2 linked regions of the Anolis sagrei genome follow. The protein of the gene in region 1 interacts with the protein of each later gene in a pairwise test. Links are inferred from orthologs where the notes say so. Each region holds a gene or a part of one and is shown on either strand. Other genes may lie near its edges.

Region 1 (12,319 bases):
AAGCTTTAGAAAAAACAACTTAAGAAACCAAAATTAACCTTATTCTAATCTGTGTTCCAAGGTCACAGAATGCTATTGGTCTGTTTGGGGTGGGATAGAAAATACACCAGGTCATCTGGTGGTGCAGTGGGTTAAACCCCTGTGCCAGCAGGACTGAAGACCGACAGGTCACAGGTTTGAATCCGGGGAGAGGCGGATGAGCTCCCTCTATCAACTCCAGCTCCTGGACATGAGAGAAGCCTCCCACAAGGATGATAAAACATCAAATCATCCGGGTGTCCCCTGGGCAACGTCCTTGCAGACAGCCAATTCTCTCACACCAGAAGCGACTTGCAGTTTCTCAGGTCGCTCCTGACACGACCAAAAAAAAAAAAACCTGGAAAATGGCACTGTTAGCTAGATGGCAACATTGTACCTCACACTATCACATATTTGGTAGGAAGGGCCCGGCTATGGTCTTTTACAAGCAATCACCTATCACTCTAACACATGGGAAAATATCTTTCACACAGAGACATACAAACCAATGTTTCTCAGTAAGAGGTGTTCAGAAGGGTTTATGCCTTTACCTTCCTGAGGCTGAGAGAGTGTGACTTGTCCATGGTCACCTAGCAGGGACTTGAACCCTGGTCTCCAGAGACATAGTCCAACATTCAAGCCATTACATCACACTGGCTTCCTTGAAGGACTGATCACTAGCCTTTCTAAAATTTCCCTCACTCTCTCAAGTGTAGATGATCACTGAAGAAATTGGTGGTTTTCTTTTCCAGTTGTGATTTTCTATTGGCAAGCCTTTTCTTTTACTGGTTCAGACATTATATTCCGGGCTTGCATGTATCTTTACTTCATTGCACTGGTATCACTGAGTCTTGAGCCAATCAATCTGGATGTAGACATCTGCAAAGTCTTTCTAAACTATTTACCTGAGCCTGAGATAGTTTCTCTAATCTATTTTGTATCAAGAGTCATTATTTCTGAATGTTTTTGAAACACATTCTCAAAATTCAGTGGTACTTAAATCTAGTTGTGGTTATGTTAACATACAATCCTAATGTAAAGCAATGTCTTCAAGGCTCCTCAAAAAATTATGGACTCCTCTATCAATAATGGTGGCCAAGCTGCTCACTTCATCTCAGTGCAACATTCAAATAGATGCATTCTCAGTGTGATAGCAGAGACTCACAGGATTGAGCACTCTTTCTTATGACACAACTGGTTTGAGACCTAAAATATGATGCAGAGTCTTTACACATCAGACAGATCAGGGTGGAAAGATTCCCCCCCCCCCAAAAAGAAAGAAAACTGTAGTCCAATTTAGTGAATCGAGCAAGCAGCCAAAATTAAATCTGAACATTCATTTATTATTTCATGTTCACCATGTCCAAATGTTATTTCATACTAGTAAGTTTATTATGAAAGTTTGGCTCACTTAGCCAATAATGGAAGATCTCTTGTACTGAATAGGCAATGTGGTTTACATACAATCTCCTGAGAAATGAGTGATATGGAAAAATGTTGTCATCACAACAGTTTTACTCATTCAGCTTTGCAGATCACAACCCTCAAAGACATTTCACCAGTCTGCCTTTAACTGTGTGGAAAGTCTTGAGCAATGGTTTTGACAATGTACTGGCCAGCCACAGAACTTCACATTAAAGTGAAACATGGCTGTTAACTACAATGTTTCTCTGTCCCTTGATAAAACACCATGTATAATGTTAAATGGTTCTGATTGTTTATACATTTAATGTGGCTTTTCAGTTGTTTTCAGATAAAACCACATAAAACATAACACTAATTCACCTGCAATGCCAATCTATAGTTTGGTGTAATAAAATCCAGGTTAAAGGTATAGCTCTTCCACTCCTTGTGGGCTCTAGTTAAATAATTCTTGGTTTGTGGCAAACCATAGATTGTTGTAATAATGAAAGTACTAGGCAGTAGTTCGTGTTTGTTCTATGAACCAATACAGATAAAATCCTAGAAATCAGTGTTTCACTGAGGGGTTTCAGGGCAAGAAAAGTCACATTTTGGCATCATAAACTATAAACCAGGAGGCAACAATGTACACAAACAGTGCTATACAGACAAGGTTCGGCATCTTGTCTTGTTTGTCCAAACCGCACTGAATGTTTGCCGTGTATGTGTACTGTGATGCACCCTGAGTCCCACTGGGGAGATAGGGTGGAATATAAATAAAGTGTTGTTGTTGTTGTTGTTATTATTATTAAAAACAACTTGTAAGATTACCCCTAATTATACATTCATGGTTAAGTTGAGATTGAACAGGAGTTTCTTAGCTCATAATTCAAGACTGTAACCATTTTTTTAAAAAAAATCTGCTGATATATTTGACTAGAGAATATATAAACAAACTATCATTTGATGATTTTACAGAAGAATGCTTATTATTAAGAACTGATTCTGATAGAGCTTTTGGAGTATAGAGGTTCTATATAATGCAAAAAGTGTGAAATTACCACTAAATTTGCAATCTCATTCTTACTTGTAAGTAATTCTTGTTTGATTTGTGTTGGAGTAAAAATACATAGGATCAGGATGTAAGATAATACACACACTGTAGTTACAGTGCCATGTCAATGTGGATTATAATAAAGCCACTGCACTCAAATAGCAGTGTAAAGGGTAATTTATTGAGCTGTAAGAATCTTTTATGACACTTGCACACTATTGCAATTGCTGTAGCTAAGAGCACAGAACACAAAAAGTTAGGACTATAAAGCACTTCTCAAACAGCTTTGCAGATCAGAGTGCAGGAAGTATTTCAACCTCCTCATGTATTAAATATCCTATGCAGGAACAGATGAGAAACTATAGTTTACTCTTCGGGTAAATCAGAAGATATTGCTCAGCATCATTCTCTTGCCACACAGGACACAATGATGATTTTTCCATAGTTGAAACGAAAATCTCAAACTCTTATAACTAGCAAATTCATTACTGCCTTTTTCGGAATGAAAAAAACAAAACCTCTCAGTCTAAATTAAAATGTAGTGTTTAACAATTTCACACAATTCTAATGGCATACATTTGGCATTTCACCTTCAGACCAATGGGAAAGAGAAAAAAATACTGAAATATGCATATACCTATAAAATCATAGAGCTATCTAGTCCAACCCCCTGCCATGCAGGAAAAGCACAAAGTATAGATTAACATAATACAAAATAAATACATATGACATTATATATTTATTTTTATATTCTTATATTTTTATACTTTTACAATTTATTTATACAGATTTTAATGGTTTAATCTGATTATGGTGTCATTTATGAGGCCTGGCTAAGATATATATTTTAGCCAAGCTTGTTCAATTCTTCTATTTTTAAATGTGTATTAACTGTTTGCTTTAATTTTTAAAATTTGTTACCGCACATGGCATTGGATGTTTGCCATCTTTTCTTTTTGGAAGTTGCTCTGAGTCTCTCTGGGGAGAGAGGGTGGGTTAAAAATAAAGATTATTCTTACTAATAATAATACTTTTGAGGCAAAACTCTGAACAGGTTTCACCAGAAGCCAATTTAGCTAATGCAGCATTTAAGATGACAATCTCAGAGCAACCAATAAACAAATCCATCTGACCAAAGAGGAAGGGTGGAGTAGGCACACTGAGGCAGCAATTTGAATCCTTGCACAATATAATGATAAAATAAGAACGCTTTATTTGTATTCAGCTCTATCTCCCAGAGGGGACTCTCCCTCTCTCTCTCATATATATATATATACACACACACACACAAAACGGGAATATAATTTATCCAGATCTGCTGCTCTTTTCACGTTATCCTTGATGGAAATTGTAGTGCTTCAAAGAAATATTAGAGCAGTAGCTCCCCAGGTGTTTTGGCCTACAACTCCCAGAAATCCCAGCCAGTTTACCAACTGTTAAGATTTCTAGGAGTTGGGTTGTTGTAGGTTTTTTCGGGCTATATGGCCATGGTCTAGAGGCATTCTCTCCTGACGTTTCGCCTGCATCAGAGGTAGTAAGGTCTTTGGAACTAGGAAAATGGGTTTATATATCTGTGGAATGACCAGGGTGAGACAAAGGACCCTTGTCTGCTGGAGCTAGGTGTGAATGTTTCAACTGACCACCTTGACTAGAATATAATGGCCTGACAGTGCCTAGAGCAAACTTTTGTTGAGAGGTGATTAGATGTTCTTGTTTGTTTCCTCTCTGTTGTTGTGCTGTTGTAATTTTAGAGTTTTTTTTAATACTGGTAGCCAGATTTTGTTCATTTTCATGGTTTCCTCCTTTCTGTTGAAATTGTCCACATGCTTGTGGATTTCAATGGCTTGTCTGTGTAGGAGTTGAAGGCCAAAACATCTGGGGACCCACAGGTTGAGAACTACTGTATTAGAGCTTGTGGACACTTCTGTATAATTGGAGCATTCCTAACAACACGCAGGGCGCATCCACACCAGGCAACCTCAGCCTCCAGTTCTTAGAAGCCCCAGCCAGTATGTTCAATAGCCAGGAATTGTAGGAATTGGAGGGTGAGGGTCTACTCTACACTCTAGAGCAGGCGTGGGCCAACTTGGGCCCTCCGGGTGTTTTGGACTACAACTCCCACAATTCCTAACAGCCTACCGGCTGTTAGGAATTGTGGGAGTTGTAGTCCAAAACACCCAGAGGGCCCAAGTTGGCCCACGCCTACTCTAGAGTGAACGTAGTTTGGCCTTTCCGCCTTCTCTCCACACGCTTCGACGCCCAAAACGGGCCCAGCGACCGACCTGAGGGCTGTCCTCCAGCGTCTCCTCGATGGGCAGCTTGTCTATCCCGGGCATGGTGGCGGCTGAGTCTCCTGCACAGGCGAGGCCTCCCTCCGCGCCCTCACGACGGGCCTACCTCAATCTCCGCCTCAGCGCAACTACCGCACGGAAGTCCCGCCCCGGCCCCGCAGCAGGAAGGAGGGAGGGAGCCGCCCGCGAGGCCCCGGCGCCGCTTCCTATTGGCTGAGAGGGAGGCCACTCCGAGGAGAAGAGCGATGACGACATTAGCAAACAACCCCTGTGGTCCTCCAGCCTGTGTCTGTTTCCCAAAGCTTCCTCTCCTTCTCCTTTTGTAGACTTCAGGCACGGACCAGGAGCCACTCAGGCACTGATGCAGTTTGGCACCACTTCTAAACAGCCATAGCTGTGAAATGGTATAGAACATGTATTGAGGTTCCAGGTTTTAACCTGCCACTTTTGGACTCTCGCTTGCTGAGATGTTCCTGCAAGTATCTCTGTAGATCTTAAAAAGCTATTTATTGATTTAAGGTGTTGGCTTGCTGGCTGATACCCAAACAGAGGATGGGCCAGAGATATCAATGACTTGGTCCTTTAATTACAGGCTACTTCCCGATTGATGTCAGGTAGTGCTATATCAGCTACTTGACATTTCCCCAGTGGTTTTTTTGTGTTTTTTTTTTTGTCGTGTCAGGAGCGACTTGAGAAACTGCAAGTCGCTTCTGGTGTGAGAGAATTGGCCATCTGCAAGGACGTTGCCCAGTAGACGCCTGGATGATTTGTTGTTTCTATCATCCTTGTGGGAGGCTTCTCTCATGTCCCCGCATGAGGAGCTGGAGCTGATAGAGGGAGCTCATCCGCCTCTCCCCAGATTCAAACCTGCGACCTGACGGTCTTCAGTCCTGCCGGCACAGGGGTTTAACCCACTGTGTCACCGGGGGCTACTCCCTAGTGGTGTAGGGCGTAGACATGGGCCAACTTTTTTGCCTTGGGGCTGCATTGTGGGCCTGACCGAGATGGCTGGGCAGGGAGGGAGAGGGCCTGTGAGAGAGTGGAGCTGGGAGGGGGCAGGGCAGGACCCGGATCATCCTCAAATTCTCCTCCTGGCTTAAGGATGGGGCTGCTCACCTCATCCTTATGCCAAGAGGAAAATTAGACATGCAACAACTGCCCCAATCTTCCTCCCTGATCCTCCCCCAATCTTTGGACTGTCCTCTCAGCATTATGCTGGGAGGAGGTAAGACAGACGACAGCTGAGAGCGCTTTGGAGTGCTCTTAGCCACTGCCTTCCTCAGGCTGTCCTCTCAGCATAATGAAGGGGCCACTGGCACATTCCTTATGCTGGGAGGAGGGTGAGACATGCTGTGGCCGAGAGCATTCCAGAGGACTCTCAATTGTTACGTGCCTTCCGCCCCTGTCCCTTCTGCATAAGGATGCAGCAGGCCACTTGTCCTTATGCTGAGACGTCAGGGACAATGAGGAGAACCTGAGGTAAGCACCCAGGGGGCCACATCCGGCCCCCGGAGCTTAGTTTGCCCATGCCTGGCATAGACATTCTGTGATAACGCGGCATGTCTCATTAAGAGCCACATCCACTGTTTTCATGTAGTGAAATGTATTCCACACTGGGCATGTGTATTCAGCAGCAGAGTAGCGAAGCACAAGGGCAGATGCCTTCACTGTGTCTGGTTGTGATCCCCAGGTTGTGCCAGTCAGCTTTCATATGATATTATTTCTAGCATCCACTTCTTGCTTGATATGCAAGCAGTGCTTCTTGTAGGTCAGAGCATGGTCCAGAGTAACTCCCAGGATTTGGGTGTGCTGCAATGCTCCAGTGATAATCCTCAGAGCTCGAGATGCTTGTCTGTTCTTAAGATGGAAAGCACACACCTGTGTTTTAGATGGATTAGGAATCAGCTGGTTTTCCCTATAATAGGCAAAGAGAGCTCCTAAAGCTTCAGAGAGCTTCTGTTCAACCATTTCAAGGCTTCCTGTTTAAGCGGTGATGGCACGATCGTCAGCATAGATGGAACTCTCTGTCCATTCTGATAGTGGCTGGTTTTTGTGTAGATGTCAAACACTAATGAAGTCAGCACGCTCCCCTGAGGCAGGCCGTTCTTCTGTTTTCACCATCTGCTTCTCTGACCCTGGTACTCAATAAAAAGCTCCTGTTTTGTAGCAGATTGTAGTCCTTTTCAGGAGGAGGTGATGATTTACAGTACCATAAGCTGCTGAAACGTCTATAAAGACAGCTCCTGTAATCTGCTGCCTTTCAAAACCATCTTCTATGTGCTGAGTCAGGTTCAGCACTTGTGATGTGCAGCTTTTTTCAGAACATACACTGGTCTATTTTTTCCATAATTCTTTGCAGGATTAGTCTCTCCAGAGCTTTATAAAGATGTAGAACAAGAAGATTGGTCTATAGCTTTTTGCATCATTATGGTCTTTGCCTGGTTTCAAAATGACTATGACTCTTGCTTTCCTCCAGATTTTAGGGATCTGACAGGATGCAATGCAGTTGTTCATCAGCTTCAGCAGCCAGCACCATGCTTTTGGACCAAAGTTTTTAATTTGTTCCGTCTGTAGATCATCCAGGTCAGCTGCTTTGCCATTTTTACATTTATAGAGAGGCATTTCCAATTTAGTAGATGTGAAAGGTTCATGAAGGTTGTTGTTATTATCTCGTTGTCTAGTTTCCTTCCTAGTTTGGTGGTAAGGTTGGGTTTCCCGTTCTTCAAAAGTTGATGCACTATCTGATCTGCCTTTACGTTGGCATGGTTATTACTTTGTGAGGACTCATTGCTCAACCGTCTTAACAGCCTCCATGCCTTTTGACTACTCCCGCCCATATTGCCTTCTGTTATCAAGTTTATCTTTCTTGGCTTTAGAGGAGGAGGGCAAAATGCTTGCGCGGCTTGAAGAGTTTACTCATTAAATTGGTCTTCATCATGGAGCCTGTAATACTAAATGTCCTTTGTATCAGGAGTAATGCCCAAGGTAGTGTGTTCTGCAGCCTTTCAGTATAGAAGCCCATGAGTAGGTTTTTACTATTTCAATAACGTGCTCGTATTCTTCAGGGATTGGGGTGACCAGTATGATATTGTCATCTAACACATCTGAGAATTTAAACCAGCATTGAATATAATTTAAGACAGCATGGTATAAGGTTTTGAGTGCTGCAGTATAGTGTTGAGAAATTAGGATTTGAATCCCCACTCAGCAATAGAAAAAAAAACTGTGTCACCTTGAGCAAGTCACACTCTCACAGCTTTAGAGAAAGTCAAGGACAAAGTGTCTCTGAATGAATTCTGCCAAGAAAACCCCATGATAGTGTCACCATAAGTCAAAACTGACCTGAAGGCATGCAAGAAACATTTTGCTTATCTAGTATGTTGCTTACTTAGCTAAGTGCCTGATACTAAACAAGTTGAAATCAAACAGGCATTACTTACAGTAATGATTTTGGTTTACATATATTGTTTGTGAACTCGAGATAAAAGTAAGAATTGCTCTTAGTATGAAATGTTTGTTCTTTATGAGATAAACTGCCTTAGAAAAGACCTTTCATACAATAAATTATTAACGACAACTGAATCACTTGGTCATTATGTGTTTAGGTATTCATTTTCTTCTTCTTCACGGGTTTGTCAGAAATTCTAGTACAGCAGCAAAATAGTCTCATGTCTCTTTTAAAAATTAAATTGCGAAATGAAGTTTATTTAATTCTATTGCTAGCAAAATACTTACTAGGGTGGTATGCTAAAGATACATGTATTGAAATAGTAAAGTGCACACCCTCAAGGTAGTGTTGTATTTTATTTTTCTAGTCTAGTGCCAGCTATTGTGATTCTGGCTGTGCCACTGAGATATAAGAAAGGGAGAAGGAGAGATCCTCTTAGTATGCCACTCTTTAGTTAACTTTCTGTCTACCAATTCCCTTATTTATCCTCTTGGTCTCAGGAAAACGACTCCCCTGATTCTCATGTAGTGTGGCTAGTCCTCCTCCATCCTACTCTTCCTGGCATCTCACATTTTAGTTACAATTTCAATTTCTTTTGACTAAAAAATAAAAGTTCTGTTTTAATTTAGTGCACAGTGTCCTCCCGTTGCTATTTTTAAAAAGGGGTTGATAAATTTCATGAAGGTATTGTAAACACTAGATGGCAGCATTATAGAGCTGTTGTTGAGTGTTGATTCTACAGTATATAACATGAAACAGCAGTAATGTCAGTAATGAAAACAAATGTATTCAATTTGCACAGTTCATCTATTTTTTCTGTTACATTTTACCATCTATCTATACACACATTTGGCATTTCCCCCTTTAAAGAAAATCAGTTGTATCAGGGGAGTGGCATCTATTCACAGCTAAACAATAGTAATGGGGAGAAACTGTTCCAAGACACACGGAAATTGGAAAAACTAAGGACCAGGAAAGCACATCTACTGTGCTCCCTGACTTTCCTTCTATGCTGCAGAGACACAGATACCATCCCACAATTTCTCGCAGCCAGAAGGCACCCTGGTCATTCCACAGATATATAAACCCATTTTTCCTACTTCCAGCAGACCTCACTACCTCTGAGGATGCTTGCCATAGATGCAGGTGAAACGTCAGGAGAAAAATTGCCTCCAGAACATGGCCATATAGCCCGGAAAAACCTACAACAACCCAATAGTAATGTTTGCTACTACCCCCACACACGTAATATTGTTTGGATACTTCAGATTAAGTTTCAAGTATATGCTCAGTGAAATAGGAGCCTGCTACTTTTTAGGTTTTTAGTTTTTTGTATGAAAACCAGAACTTGGAAACTTTATTTTTCCTTAAGTACTTTCTAGCGAGCACCTGGCCAGGTATATGCTGGAATACTTAATAAAGTGCAACAATAGAGCAGAACTAAAATCCTTTAAACATTAAGCATTTCCTCAGCATTTAAATCTAATTGACAGAAAAGCAGCATACACTGGGACAGGGTTTGGTTCCAGGACACTCTCCCCCCATAGATACCAAAATCTGTGGATGCTCAAATCCATTAAATATAATGTCATAGTAAAATGGTTTCCTTTATATAAACTGACAAAATCACAGTTTGCCTTTTGGATTTATTTTTAATATTTTCAAGCTGTGGATGGTTGAATCCATGGATGCAGAGTTTATGGTTACGGAGGCCAACTATATCATTTTCATCAGGGCTTAGTGCGGGGAGAGGTACAACAGGTGTCACTTGGTTTGTTCTGCATAATTGAAAATATTTTTTGGTGCAATCAGCAAGTTTGTTATATTTTTGCAGAGTCTTTCTTAACTCTCTTGCCCACTGTCTGTATTACTGCCCCAGATCGATCTAAAATAGCAGTCAACAGAAATTGCTGCCATTTGTTGAGAGGCTGCAACTCCCTTCCCATGCAAGGGCCCCCATTCCTCAAACACCATTGATCACTGCCCTGCATGTCAGAGCCCCATGCAATAGGTTTGTGAGGAATTATTTTCACTAAATTGGCCCTGGAGCATGTGTAAAAAGTGAGCTGCCATCCAAAATGGGTGAATCCAGAGCTGCCATAATTTCCAATATTGTTTCTTGTTGTTTCCCTTTATACTAATCAAAATCAGGGTGTGGATAATATGACAATAATTATTAATGACAAAAAGGCTAAGAGAAGCTGCAGCAGTTTTGCTTGAGTGTACATGTGCAGCATTTTTTTCGAAAGAAGCAGAGCATGCTTGAGGACTGGGATATCAAGGGATACCAAGATGCTTCTTATAATGCTATTGTCCTCCCAACTCTGTTATAGACATGTAAAATGTGGACCATCTACAATGTCACTTTCAACTTCTGGAATGATTCCATGAGCGTTGCCTCCAAAAAAATCCTGCAAATCTCTGAGGAACACAAGCTGACAAATGTTGGCATGCTGGAGGAAGCAAAGACCACCAGCAGTGACACGGTGATCCTCTGCCATCAACTTCACTGGATTGGCCACATTGACTGGATACCTGATCACCGTCTCCCAAAGCAGTTACTTTACTCTCAACTCAAGAATGGAAAACAGAATGTCGGTGGACATCAAAAGAGATTTATAAATGGACTTAAATCTAACTGCAAAAATTGTGCTATAGACACTGAGAACTGTGAAGCCCTGGCCCTCGAGAATTCTAACTGGAGGTCAGCTGTTACCAGCAGTGCTGTGAATCTGAAGAGGTACAAATGGAGGGCAAAAGAGAAAAACGTGTCAAGAGGAAGGCGCATCAAGCCAATCCTTGTCGAGATCGCCTTCCATCTGGAAATCTATATCCTCACTGCAAAAGAAAATGTACATCCAAAAGAGGTCTCTAAAGTCACTTCTGGATCCACTGTCAAGACTCTCCACTTGGAAGGCAATCATACTTGGCCACAAGTGATAGCCGATGATGATGACAAGTGCACAGCTCTTTCCTTCGTTCATCTATTCCACCTCATAGAGTAAATTGAATTAAAACTTTTTTTCAATTTCACTTCTGATTGCAGCAATGTGGTAATATTGAGGACATAAGAGTTCATGGGAGGGATACTCTCTTGAAGTTCGCTATGTTCAGTGCTGGATTTGCCATTGTGCTGAGGTGTGCTTAAGCACAGGGCCCCGTTTGTCAGAGAGGGCCCATCTTCCTGCAAAAAAAAAAAAAAAAGATAGATTTTGCTTATGTGGTACAAGTCAAAATGTGAAGTAAGGGGCTTCATAACTGAAGTAGCACGGGATCTCATTTGTCCTAAATCTAGCACTGACTATGCTGCTGCCTTTCCATGTTGGTGGGGGTTGCAGGGTTTTATAGTGCTGTTCTTAGGATTTCCCATGTCTTTCTGCGGACACTGGCAGACGATCTTTCAGAGATGATGCCAGTGTTAGTTCAGCTAATTCTAAATGAGCTGGTACAGCACAGAAAGAGATACTGATAAATCACCATAGAATATCCTTTACCATGATGAAACAATAAAAGTAATAAAGCACAACAGTATTGGAAGATTAAACTACCGGGTCAGAAAGCATTAATCCAGCTATTTTGGAAGAGCTGACAACAATTACCAGTATTGCTGTATCTAATAATGATTCTAGTGGATTCAGGCTGGAAAGGACATTCAGCAGCTGACGTGCTCAGATGTGAAAGTTGAAAGCTGCACAATAATGGGAACATGGCATGTGAAGAGAACAAAGCAGTCATCAGTGGCATTATACATAGTGAAATGTCTTCTAGAATGGAGAAATGAGGGACAGTAATTTTAAATTTCTGTTCATGTTTGGAAAATGTTGAAAAAATGAATCAGACCATATGATAAACAGAACTGAGATGCTGTTTAACAATTTACTTTGTGTTACAAGTCTCTGTTACCTGAACCCTATTGGTAGTCCCATTTAGAGAAAACAATTTGATTAAACTGATTTTGTGTAAGTGTTGACTCACCATTCAACTTTTGCTGAATGGGTGTACTCTGTTTGAGACTACTCCTTGGATTCAGACGTATATACTTGAAATCAGCAGTTTTCAAACTTTGGTCTTCCAGATATAATGGACATAATCTCTCAAAGGCCCCAG
Region 2 (12,392 bases), on another chromosome or scaffold:
CCTGATTCCACATGTATTGCTGAGATTCTCTATCTGTTGTCCATAGAATCACACCGGAGGACCTAGAGGTCCTCTCTCTTCCCATGTGACTTAATGTGATCCTCCACTCAAAATAAACCACTGGAGGACCTAGAGAGGATGTTTTTAATCAAAATCCACAAGTAATTAAATCTGCAAAATGTGGAGGGTCAACTGTAACTATAGGGAGCATGCAACACTCCTATGAAAACAGCTTCATTGGCTGCCGATAAGTTGCTGAGCCAAATTCAAGGTGCAGGTCATGACCTATAAAGCCCTAAATGGTTCGGGCACTGCCTATCTCCACAATCGCATCTCCTTCTATGAACCAGCGCGAACTCTAAGATCGTCTGGGGAGGCCCTCCTCTCGGTCCCACTACCGTCTCAAGCACGGTTGGTGGGGACGAGAGAGAGAGGGCCTTCTCAGTGGTGGCCCCCCGTCTCTGGAACGCCCTTCCAAAGGAAATAAGACAGGCCCCATCCCTCCCCTCCTTTTGTAAGAGCTTGAAGACCTGGTGGTTTCAACAAGCCTTTGAAAATGACCAGTTCTAACTCAGCCCCACACATTGTCTAATACGGCCTTATTCTTCCTACCAGTTACCCAGACGGCCTTATTCTTCCTACCAGTTACCCAGATTCTTTCCTCTAATCAGCCCCAGAATGAACAGCAACAGACCCATACCTAATATTATTGTTGCCTGCCATAGCATTGCACTTAATTCCCGGGCCCCCTAGAATTTTGGGGCTTGCACAAATCTTGGCCCAGCCTTTTAAATTTTTAATTGCCTTGAACAGGCAGGCTTATTTTTAATACAGGGTTAGTCAAAATGCATAGGCCAATAAGCCATTCAATTGAATGGCTTATTGGCCTATGCATTTTGACTAACCCTGTATATGTGTGTTGTGGCGACAATTTGTATGTTTATATTTTGTTTGTTAATCTTATAGTTATGTTGTTTTTACTCTGTATGTTTTGTGATATTACTTGGGAACTGTTCTGAGTCCCCTCGGGGAGATGGAGAGGTATATAAATAAATTATTATTATTATTATTATTATTATTATTATTATTGGTTTGCATCTAGCTATAGGGTCATCTAGCTATAGGGTCACACTTCTCTGATGGGGGTTGAACAGATTAAACATAGTTCTGCTTGCAGAAAAAAATACACTACATTGTTGACTACCAAAGTCTCACAATCACATATGAAACAGAGACATGAAGAAAAGGCAGGTGGGATTCATAAGGCATAATGAAACTGGGATATCCACATCCCTAAACCCAGCTAACCTCTCACAGTAGAAGAGTCAGGGAACAGCTTACTGTAGCTTTGAGCATGGACTTCCACATTCTCTATTATAATAACATGCCCTCATCCTAGAAACTTTCAGTCCACTAAAGGGATTAGTTCCTTATTTGCATCTTTGGGTGAGGGAGTAGGCAGACAATTTAACATTCTCATTTCTCTTTCAAATTTCCATCAGTGCTGTGGTTTTCCTTTATTTCATACAGTGCTGTTTCCCATCTCCTAAACTGTTGGGGTTAGGGGGTCAAGAAATTAGAAAATGTAGGAAGACTTGCTCATTGCAGAGTACTTTGAAACGTATAACATAAAGCAGGGGATGAGGTTAATACTTAAGTTTGTGCAGAAATCCAATTGAGATAAAATCCTGGTTTTATGGAGGCAAAATCCAGAGCAGAATTGGGACTACCATATAGATGAGGAGAGGTGTATTCCCAACAGGAAGACTTCTAATATCCAGAGAGGTCATGGTTAGGGAGGGAAAGAATATTTGAAAATATTGTTAATTATTAAAAAACCTTTTTAGTGTCAATGAAATCCTATTTAAAACTGACAACAATCTTTGCAGCTTGAAAAATTTTCTGCACAAAATTCACAAGTTGTTGTTTTGCTTTTAAAAACAGCATTTTCTTTTTTCGCACAGAAAAAAACCAGTTTCATGCAAAGAGAAGACTGTGATCAGGGACTTATCCTAAAGAAAATTAATGTGTAGATAGTTTGCATGAAAAAAATCACTTTCTGTAAAGAAAACAGAATTTTCTATTCATAAAATATTTGTTTCTGGCCAGAAATGTTTTCTGTACAAAACAACCATGTGTAAATTTAGTGCAGAATGCATTCCAGATTGCAAAACCCCAAAACCCTTCAAAAACTGTATGATTTTCAAAGACTTACGGGGAGGAAAAATGCTATGATTGCTTGTTGCTTCATTTGAAAAATAAAGAATTACACTGCTAGTTATCAGCAGGATAAAAAAAATCAATCTTTGTGTTTATATGAAACTTTCTTTCATCTAAGTACTGTTGATACCTTTGCGGTGCATCATGTCACATAGGACTTGTCCCCTCCTCCCTTGCACAATGGATTGTTTGTAGCCCCCAAGTTGTGTAAACCAAGACAAAAGAATTTCCTCAAGCAAGAATCGATAGCAACATTCTCTATACCTTGCCCAAAGAAGAACAATCCATTGTCTGTTGAAGACCTATGGCACAATTGGGCAATATGTAACCTATGGGTCATAGGAGTCCCCTCTCCAATTACTTGTATGATTCTCTGCCCCTCAAGAGCCACAAGAAGTCCTTTGAGGTTCCCAGTATTAGGCATCCCCTCAAATAATAACTAATCAAAGGAAAATGGCTCTGAATCCATTTTGAAATGCATACTGTACAAAATCAAAGGAAGTAATTATATCATGCCACGATGGAAAGAAGACTGTGGTCTTTTAAAAAATAAAAAATGGATATGAAAGTTATTTAGCACGAATAGCAGAGTAGGCTCATGAGGTCCATACCTGTAGTGAAGCAAATACATTCCTGGTTTTAACTCCATCTCTAAGGAACTATCTAAGGTGCTGAATCCTATCCCCAGAAGTTCTTTGAAGTTCAAAATGAAAGCCAAAATGTATCCATCACCACAATGACATGGAAGCCACAACTCCTCCTTGATTCCTAAAACAGAAGTTTAAATCATCATAATCTCCCAAATCATTACTAATGTCGTTATATGCAAGTGTGGTCAAGTTATTTTGATATCTAGTTCAAAAACCCCAATAAACATATCTGCAGTATGCAGTCATTGCTAACCGGTGACAGGCTATTCGTGCCTGAGGCAACTACCTCACTCTGCCTAATGCAAAGCCAGCCTGGTATAACAGTGGAAGGAAAAGTATCATGGAGATATACAACAGATAGTCCCCCCATGGAGCATTTTTGATTCATAGGAACTATTTCCTTAACCTTTGCATGGAGGCTACTTGCCACCATTCAGTAGCAATACTAGTGTGTGTGTGTGTGTCTGTGTGTGTTCAACTACCCATATGTTTGGTTATGTCATTGTGCATTTGCTTGCAACATTGAAGATAAGCATCTATCTTAACATGGCTAAACAAAGCAAAACAAAATAAGATGTCAGCCAGCCCCTTCTTGAGCAGAAACACCGGGGAGAAAATGTTCTCCTAAATCAGATAACCTTCTCAGGACCATGGCCATTTCAGTCTTGGTGAAATATTACATATTGATTTAATGTCTGTCTGTTTCCATCACATCACAACTCTCTGGAGTTTCCCATTCTCTCCACTCAACCAGAGGCTTCATTCCAACATTGTTACAGATCAAACCTCAACTACAGAGCCATTCTTAGCAACCCCAAAAGCGCATTCACTGCAAGTGATCTTTCTTTGTCTTGTTGCAATTAGACTGCTTTCGGGTCAGAGAAAACAAGGCAGGCAGTCCAGCGTTTTGTTGTTTGTTTATATACACTACTGAAAGACTTGGCAAGCTCTGAAATGAATGACAGGCAGCATCCCTTCCAAGGATATTTATGGAGGCTTTTCTGGAAATGTTCAATGGGCCACCAAAAATCTCTCTCAATTACAAATTGTGAAATGGACTCCTTTCTGTATTGTGGTCATATTTCACTCTCCAAAGGTGTGAGGGCATGCCTCTTTCAACTGACCCTTTTCACTGTTTTGATCGTTACTGATTATTGATTTTAATGGTTTATAGTTGGATTTGTTTCAAAGGATGGAGTTAATGCTCTTATTATTAACTCTGATTTTAGGTATGTTGTTAGCTGCTGTGAGTTCTTTTGGTTTGTCTGTCTGTCTGTTTGTTTGTAAGTGGATGAAAGCTGCAGCAAAATACCTAAGGACCTCATCACATGGGTGAGGTCCATTGTCATGATTCACCAGCCTTCGTGGTGAATTATGGTGGCAGCAGGTCAATAGCTGCCAGCTGACATTTCTCCATCCCTTGTGGGGAAGCATTGCTGCTCTGCCAAAGCCCCATTGTTCCTTATGGAACATGGGGCAGATTCCAGTTTTCCTATGGAGCTCCACTGAAAGTCAACCTACATTGTTTGAGGAACGGCATGGGGCTCCATGGGTGAACCGGGTCAAAAGCATCCTAGGACACTTCAATTGCCCTATATGATAAGGCTGCAAATAAAGAGACAAGATACAATTGTTATGTAATTGAATGTGAATCCAAACACCACATAGATATTGCTTGCAGAATTAAATCAATATGTCAAGAAGAAGAGTTCAAGCCAGGCTCGCATTCACACTAATGCAAACAGATAAAAACCTTTTTATTCAAGTAGTCCTTTGAGAATTGATGTTTCAGGCTGGATGTATACTGCCATATAATCCAGTTTCTGAATCCTGAATATTACTTTTGAACTGGATTATGCAGGTCTACACTGCCATATAATCCAGTTCAAATCAGACAATCTGGATTCAGAAACTGGGTTATATGACAGTGCAGATGGAGCCTCAGGGAAATCAGGCCTTGTACAAGATGCACTATATATCTTTATTGATGTATTTGTTTTAACTGGTTTCTCATTTTATGATGGTATACTTGTTGTGGATGTTTAACTGTGTTTGATTAAACTTTATGAACTAAACCTGTATGATACAGTGGATAGTGAACATGGATAAAGCATGGCATGTGGCATTTCAAAGGATTTCATGCAATGGGTGAAGAGCATAAGATCTTCTGCTTGAAATGTTAAGAAATGTCTAGTACTGTCTAGATAAGGTCATGATGGTGTGGGTATTGAGAGTTCTAATCCAACACATCTGAAGGATGCAGGTTGGGAAATACTGGTCTAAAATAACCAACTGACTGAGTTAGTATAAGGCAGTTTCATACATTCACATAAAAAGGAGTCAACACTCCCCAAAACACTCCTGAAGTTGCTGGTGAGCTCCATGTCAGCAAGGATTGGAATTTATCTACATGTCAGTGTGAACTTTGAAGGAGCTATCCAAAGTGCTGGATTTATTTTGAGGTTGGGGTCAGCTCCACTGACAAGCAAGGCACCAGTTTCATGGCAAGCTCCACCTTGCCTTTCTCTCCTTAGTCTCTTAAAAGTACCACTGTTTTCATCACCTAAAGCATCATCCATAGCCCTTTTCACTGACTCCATCCTATGTTGCATGTAAATGTTTATTGGCATCAAATGCATCATCACTTCATCACAAGAGTGTAGCAATTGGGACTGGGAGGTGCACTTAGGGTATTATCCCTCCCAAAAAGATGTTTGCCTCCTAACTCAGTGAAGTTTTCCTTCACTCTCCAAATTGCAATCATTACAATAATTTAATATTCGAGCCATAAATATTACAGTTTAAGTATCCAAAGGTAAGGGCAGGCTATGTTACATTGCATATGCAAACATTGCAAGTGTAAGAATTCTAGGTGAAGATGATTTTCAGTGTCTCAGTGTAATGATAGAAATTTTGGCACTGAAGAGAACTTTTACCAAAAGGCAGAATTTTGAGTTTGGAGAGGCAATGCCCTCATTTTTCCCCCTGCTCCTTGTTTCCATTTAGTCTGAGTGACCCTGGCAGAGTATAGCTCAGGCATAGGAAAACTTTGGCCATCTGGGTGTTTTGGACTTCAACCCTCACAATTCCTAACAGCCAGTAGGCTGATAGGAATTTGGGAGTTGAAGTACAAAATACCCAGAGGGCCAAAGTTTGTCCATGCCTGGTATAGTCCATATGGAGCAATGCTACTCTGGACTGGTGCTAGTCATAGAATCATAGAGTTGGAAGAGACCTCATGGACCATCCAATCCAACCCCCTGCCAAGAAGCAGGAAAATCACATTCCAAGCACCCCTAACAGATGGCCATCCAGCCTCTGTTTAAAAGTCTCCAAAGTCAGCCACTGGTTACTGGCAAGTTTGAAGAAAAGAAGAAAACATCTGTACCCAGTGGGTATAAACATAGTGTTGTTCCTTGGCACAATGGAGTGGAAAATGTTGCTACACACACACACGCACACGCACACGCGCACACACACACCCATGTGTGTGAGAAGCAATGAAACAGAGGATCTTTTCCTTGGACTTCACGTAACTCTCCACAGGCCTCTGAGGCGTGGCTTCAGAGAAGTGAGAGAATGTGAGTGTGAAGCAAGGAGGAGTTTGCCATTCAGTGGACAGACTAGAGGGCAATGTGAAGGCAAGGATGGCTCTGGTTTACCTTTGCCTCCTGCTGCTGCTGCTTCCCTCGGGGACTTGTTCAGGTTGCCAACATCCGCTCTGCCAATGCTCAAACAGGATGGCCTTCATCTGCCAGGAGAACAAGGTGACCTCCGTGCCAAAGGACATCCCCAGGAATTCCACCGAACTGTGAGTAAAGGGAGGGAAAAGCAAGCAAAGAAATGTTGCCAAGTTACATAGCAGGCTCTGGTTTGCAGGGGAAAGAGCTCCTAAAACATCTGGACAGTGATGACGGCCTTCTAAAAGGGATGCTCAACTCCTCCAGAAACAATATTTGACCTGCTCACCCCTTCCCCGAAAGCATTTTGAAATGAGCAAAGACTAGCTCGGCCAACTTTTTTTTTCTGGATGTGTCTCCAGTAATTTATATGAAAGTGCTCAACATTCTTTCTGAAACACAGTTACTTCAACGCAACTGAAACTACAGAGTTTGTGTGCCAAAGTATAGTTGGCTTAATTGAAGGTTTTCTATATTCCATCTGATAAAGAATGTTGGTGGTGTTGGTTGTTGGTTCTTTTTTAGAACCTGGCATTTTCATTGGGATTCCATATAGAGAACTGTTTTCTTTCTTTTTCATTTCTCTCAGTGAGAAGTTAGCTGTTTGCCTTCGGATCACAAAAAGTACTTTGTGAACTTTGTGATGTGTTCAAAAAGGAGCTAGGGAAAGGAATCTTAGATAAAGTCCAAACAAAAGACCAAATAGTCCTTGCAGAGTGAAACAGTCCTAGAACAACTAATGAGAATAAATGGAGGCAGCTCCTTGTGTTGGATTTCTCAACGGCAAGACAGTTACTTAAAGTTCCTATTTATTTTAGCACAGACTGAAACAGCCAATGTTCTTTATCAGATGTGGCTCCAGTTTGCTAACACTAAAATATACCACCAGCACTTAGCTGTGTGGTCATCACTAAAAAAAATATGGAGTTTCATCACATTTAGCCAAATTACAACCGATTTTTAGTTTAGCCTACAAATGCATTGAGTAAAGATATGGACCAGTTAAAGTAAAGATTTTCCCCTGACATTAAGTCCAGTCATGTCCAACTCTGGGGGTTGGTGCTCATCTCCATTTCTAGACCAAAGACCCAGCATTGTCCGTAGACACCTACAAGGTCATGTAGCCAGCATGGCTACATGGAGTGCCATTACTTTCCGACAGAGTGGTACCTATTGATCTACTCATGTTTGCATGTTTTCAAGTTGCTAGGTTGGCAGAAGTTGGGGCTAACAACAGGAGCTCACACCACTCCCCGGATTCAAACCTGCGACCTTTCAGTCAGCAAGTTCAGCAGTTCAGTGGTTTAACTGACTGTGCCACCGGGGGCTCCTACTTATAGACCAGTTATGGTTCCACTAATGGGAGAGTGCAAGAAGTCATGATAGATGCCATGCAATTCACCTTAAAGGGTACTTTATGGCACAACATTTTCATAAAATAATAATTTAAAAAATAATTATGCCACAAGTGTGCTGGTATTTTTGTTTGTTGGAAAAATAACCATTTTTGTTGACTTCTTCATTTAGCAACTTATAATTAGGGTGTATTTGGACTGTTGGCTAGCACCAATCTTATTCTTTGAGCATGGATCTATGTAGCCTGAACATAATAGGGAGATATCCTAAGTCTTGAGGGAATTAACAGATTTACAGAATTACAAGAGGCAGGGGTCCTAAAGGATAGAAGCAGGAAGCATAATAGGGACTGAGCAGGCTCAGTGACCAAAGAGTGCCTGACTGAATTTTGGAAGATAAAGAAGAAAAGGAGAAGGAAGTTAAAGAGAGAAGGATGTGTGGAATGGAGTATACTTGAAGAGGACAATGGATGACTAGCTGGTTGCAGTCTTAAACAGGAACAATTTGCATTGTGATGTTTAATTGCATGTCCTGATTGTATTCATATATCTTTTTATTCAGTGGGCTTTGAGTATCTACTCATGTTTGGTTCCAGGACCCCTGTGGATATCCATGAGTATCAAAGTCTCATTATATACAATGGCATAGAAAAAAAATTCTTTGGGGATTTCTTTTCTTTTCAAGCCATGGATGGTTGAATCTGTGGATGCAGAATTCACAATGACCAGGATTGACCACACCAAATGCCTAAGAAGAAATTGATGTTGCCATTTGTATCAGACAAAATCTGGTCCCTGGGTTGCTGTGAGTTTTCTAGGCTGTATGGCCATGTTCCAGAAGAATTCTCTCCTGACCTTTCGCCCACATCTATGGCAGGCATCCTCAGAGGTTGTGAGGTCTTTTGAAAACTAGGCAAGTGAGGTTTATATATCTGTGAAATGTCCAGAATGGGAGAAGATATATATCCACAGATACAGAAACCTCATTTGAGGGGCATTCCAACAGGCCCCTCAACCTCTGAGGATGCCTGCTATAGATGTGGGCAAAACATCAGGAGAGAATGCTTCTGGAACATAGCCATACAGCATGGAAAACTCACAGCAACCCAGTGATTCCAGCCATGAAAGCCCTCGACAACACAAAATCTGATTAAATTCTTAAATAAATAGAACCATCCCAACCCCCTTAGGCAGATTTTAGTAAGTCTTACACAAACTTTGTTACCTTTCTCTGAACCTCCTTAGACTATTAACCTAAAGAAGCATCCCCAAATCTGTTTCAGATTTAATCTGGGGATATATTTTAGTGGCAGCTCTTTTCTCTTTCTCTTAGGTCTTTTTATCCATTTCCCACATCTGTCCCCCTGTTTAAGTAATCATTCAACAATCCAAAATTGGAAGAAAGCCGGATGAGAGCAAGGAGAGATAAAAAGTGGCAATTTGAACTCACTAATAGGAGGAGAACCTGTGGATCAAAATATATAGTAAAGAATACTTGTGATAGCCACCACAATGCTTTCTTTTGAGTGGCTGACAGTATTTTGAAAAGTCATATATTCATAATACCTAGGAGTACATGATACATTTATGGATGGGGAGAGTATTAACAATATCTGGGAAGGAAATGGTTGAAAGTGTGTTCCTGGGAGCTTGGAGAACTGCACCTAATCTCCACACTTCATTGATCAGTTGTCCCCATCCCCCCCAGAAATTTCCAAGAAAAGCAATTGGTCAGTTTGCTGCATGTTTAGATCTTTGTAGGCCATACTTTTAAAATCATAGAATCATAAAGTTGGAAGAGACCTCGTGGGCCATCCAGTCCAATCCCATTCTGCCAAGAAGCAGGAAAATCGCATTCAAAGCACACCCTAACAGATAGCCATCCAGCCTCTGCTTTAAAGCCTCCAAAGAAGGAGCCTTCCCCATCCTTGTCTTATTTTGTGTAAGAAAATTCAATAGTTTAACTGTGTGCCACGTAAAAAAAAATCCTCTTTTTGTCTATGTTGAATCTCCTCTAACTCACAATCCATGAATGATTCATAAATGTGGTCTCTTAACAAGAAATTTGACTTAGGAGTGTATATCTCCTATTTGGTGGGCTTTTCTTCACCATTACCCTATTTCCCTCCAAAACCAAAACTATCTGGAAGCCAATTTCAGATTTCCTAGAAACATTTGAAAAGGATGGAGGATCAAAGTTAGGTCTGTGTGTGTTTATTCATTCAGTTGTTTCCGATTCTTCATGATGTTATGGACCAGACCACGCCAGAGCTCCCTGTTGGCCATCGCCACCCCCAGTTCCTTCAAGGTCAAGCCAATCACTTCAAGGATATCATCCATCCATCTTGCCCTTGGTCGACCCCTCTCCCTTTTTCCTTCAGTTTCCCCCAGCAACATTATTTTCTCCATGCTTTCCTGTCTTCTCATTCTGTGGCCAAAGTATGTCATCTTTGCCTCTAATATCCTTTCCTCCAGTGAGCTGTTGGGCTTTATTTTCTGAAGTACAGACTGGTTGAATCTTCTTGCAGTCCAAGTATTTTCCTCCAACACCACAGTTCAAAAGCATCTCTCTTCCTTCACTCAACCTTCCTTGTGGCCCAGCTCTCACATCCATAGGTTGCTATGGGGAATAACACTGCTTTAACTATGCGGACCTTTATTGTGTGATGTCTGTACTCTTAACCGTTTTATCAAGATCGGTCATTTCTCTCCTCCCAAGAAGTAAACATCTTCTGATTCCCTGGCTGCAGTCCGCATCTGTAGAAGTCTTTATGCCTAAGTTAGGTCTAGATTAGAGTTTGTTTTAAAGAAGAATCAAACTAAGTGAATTTCTCCTCTGAAGTAATGCCAGGAGGATTTCAGGGGGGTGTGGGATTGATTGCTGCCCATAGGTTGCATGTTAGCTAATTCTCATGTGAAGCAACCATTAATCTCAATTAGGCAATCACAATTATATGAGCTTTTCTTTAGACAGGAAGCAAGACGATCCTATTGATCTCAAAATATGAGACCAAGGAATGGGCTCTGATTTTGTTTTTGTTGTGTCAGGAGCAACTTGGGAAACTGCAAGTCACTTCTGGTGTGAGAGAATTGGCCGTCTGCAAAGACGTTGCCCAGGGGACGCCCGGATGATTTGATGTTTTTATCACCCTTCTGGGAGGCTTCTCTCATGTCCCCGCGTGAGGAGCTAGAGTTGATAGAGGGAGCTCATCTGCCTCTGCCCGGATTCAAACCTGTGACCTGTCGATCTTCAGTATGGGCTCTGATGATGTCACAAGGATGGAGCCCAATGCTGTCATCACACATTATGTATTAAGCAAGAATCTCTCTGACACACACAGCTTGTTGTGCAAACATAAAATATACATGCAGAGTTGGAACCTATTTTCCTGGTTGGAAATTAAATGTCTTTGCAAATTGAAACACTGGCTTTAAAACAATTAACCTTTGCAAAGCACAGCAAGCTGCCCAGCCAGTCAGAAGGCTCCCTACCTGAGCAAAAGGTTGCATGCAGCCTTATCTCTTGACTGACTCCATGACAACTGGAAAGTTTAAATCTTCACCTGCCGCCTGGGAACAATCCACCGAAACTCCAGGCAGTAGCCGAGGGTCTAGCAACCCCATCATACACTCATTTGTTATGGCTTCTGCCTGCAACCCTGTTCCACTCTTGGGTTTTTAATTGGCAACAGCAACAGGACAAGAGCACATTTTGACCCTCTATTATGTGTTCAGATTTTTACATTGAGAGAATGGACTCAGGACAGAAAGTTTTCATGGAGTTTTGGACTGCATTTGTGCTGTAGAATTAATGCAGCTTGACAACACATTTTGTTCGTGTCAGGAGCGACTTGAGAAATTGCAAGTCACTTCTGGTGTGAGAGAAGAGGCCGTCTGCAAGGATGTTGCCCATGGAATACCCAGATGTTTTGATGTTTTACCATCCTTGTGGGAGGCTTCTCTCATGTCCCCGCATGGAGAGCTGGAGCTGACAGAGGGAGCTCATCTGCACTCTCCCCAGATTTGAACCTCTGACCTGTCGGTCTTCAGTTCTGCCATAACAACACCTGAACTGCCATAACTCATTGCATTGAAATCTTTGGTATGTAGTCCAGCAAGGTCTTTAGCCTTCTTTGCCAAAGGGTGCTGGTGCCTCACCAGACTACAATTCCCATGATTCAAAAGCATTGAGCCATGGCAGGGTTTTTTTATCGTGTCAGAAGTGACTTGTGAAACTGCAAGTTGTTTCTGGTGTGAGAGAATTGGCCATCTGCAGAGACGTTGCCCAGGGAATGCCCGGATAGGTTGCCATCCTGTGAGACGCTTCTCTCATGTCCTCGCATGAGAAGTTGGAGCTGACAGACAGGAACTCACCACATCTCATGAATTCGAACCACTGACCTTCAGGTCTGCAATTTAGCCAGCACAAGGGTTTAACCCATTGTGCCACAGCAGCTCCTAACCTGGAAAGTTTAGCAAGGCTTTGT

The links.
Region 2: the proteins of APPL1 (region 1) and FSHR interact in a two-hybrid assay, tested with the Homo sapiens proteins (2 studies listed by BioGRID). The link is inferred for Anolis sagrei from reciprocal best matches to the Homo sapiens genes APPL1 and FSHR.

Annotation. Positions count from the first base shown.
Region 1 is NC_090022.1:57,955,062-57,967,380, forward strand, and holds the start of APPL1 (DCC-interacting protein 13-alpha), read right to left. Parts: upstream 4,917-12,319; 5' UTR 4,810-4,916; coding exon 4,756-4,809; intron 1-4,755. UniProt on the Homo sapiens protein: Multifunctional adapter protein that binds to various membrane receptors, nuclear factors and signaling proteins to regulate many processes, such as cell proliferation, immune response, endosomal trafficking and cell metabolism.
Region 2 is NC_090021.1:20,247,207-20,259,598, forward strand, and holds the start of FSHR (follicle-stimulating hormone receptor), read left to right. Parts: upstream 1-6,506; 5' UTR 6,507-6,517; coding exon 6,518-6,681; intron 6,682-12,392. UniProt on the Homo sapiens protein: G protein-coupled receptor for follitropin, the follicle-stimulating hormone. Through cAMP production activates the downstream PI3K-AKT and ERK1/ERK2 signaling pathways.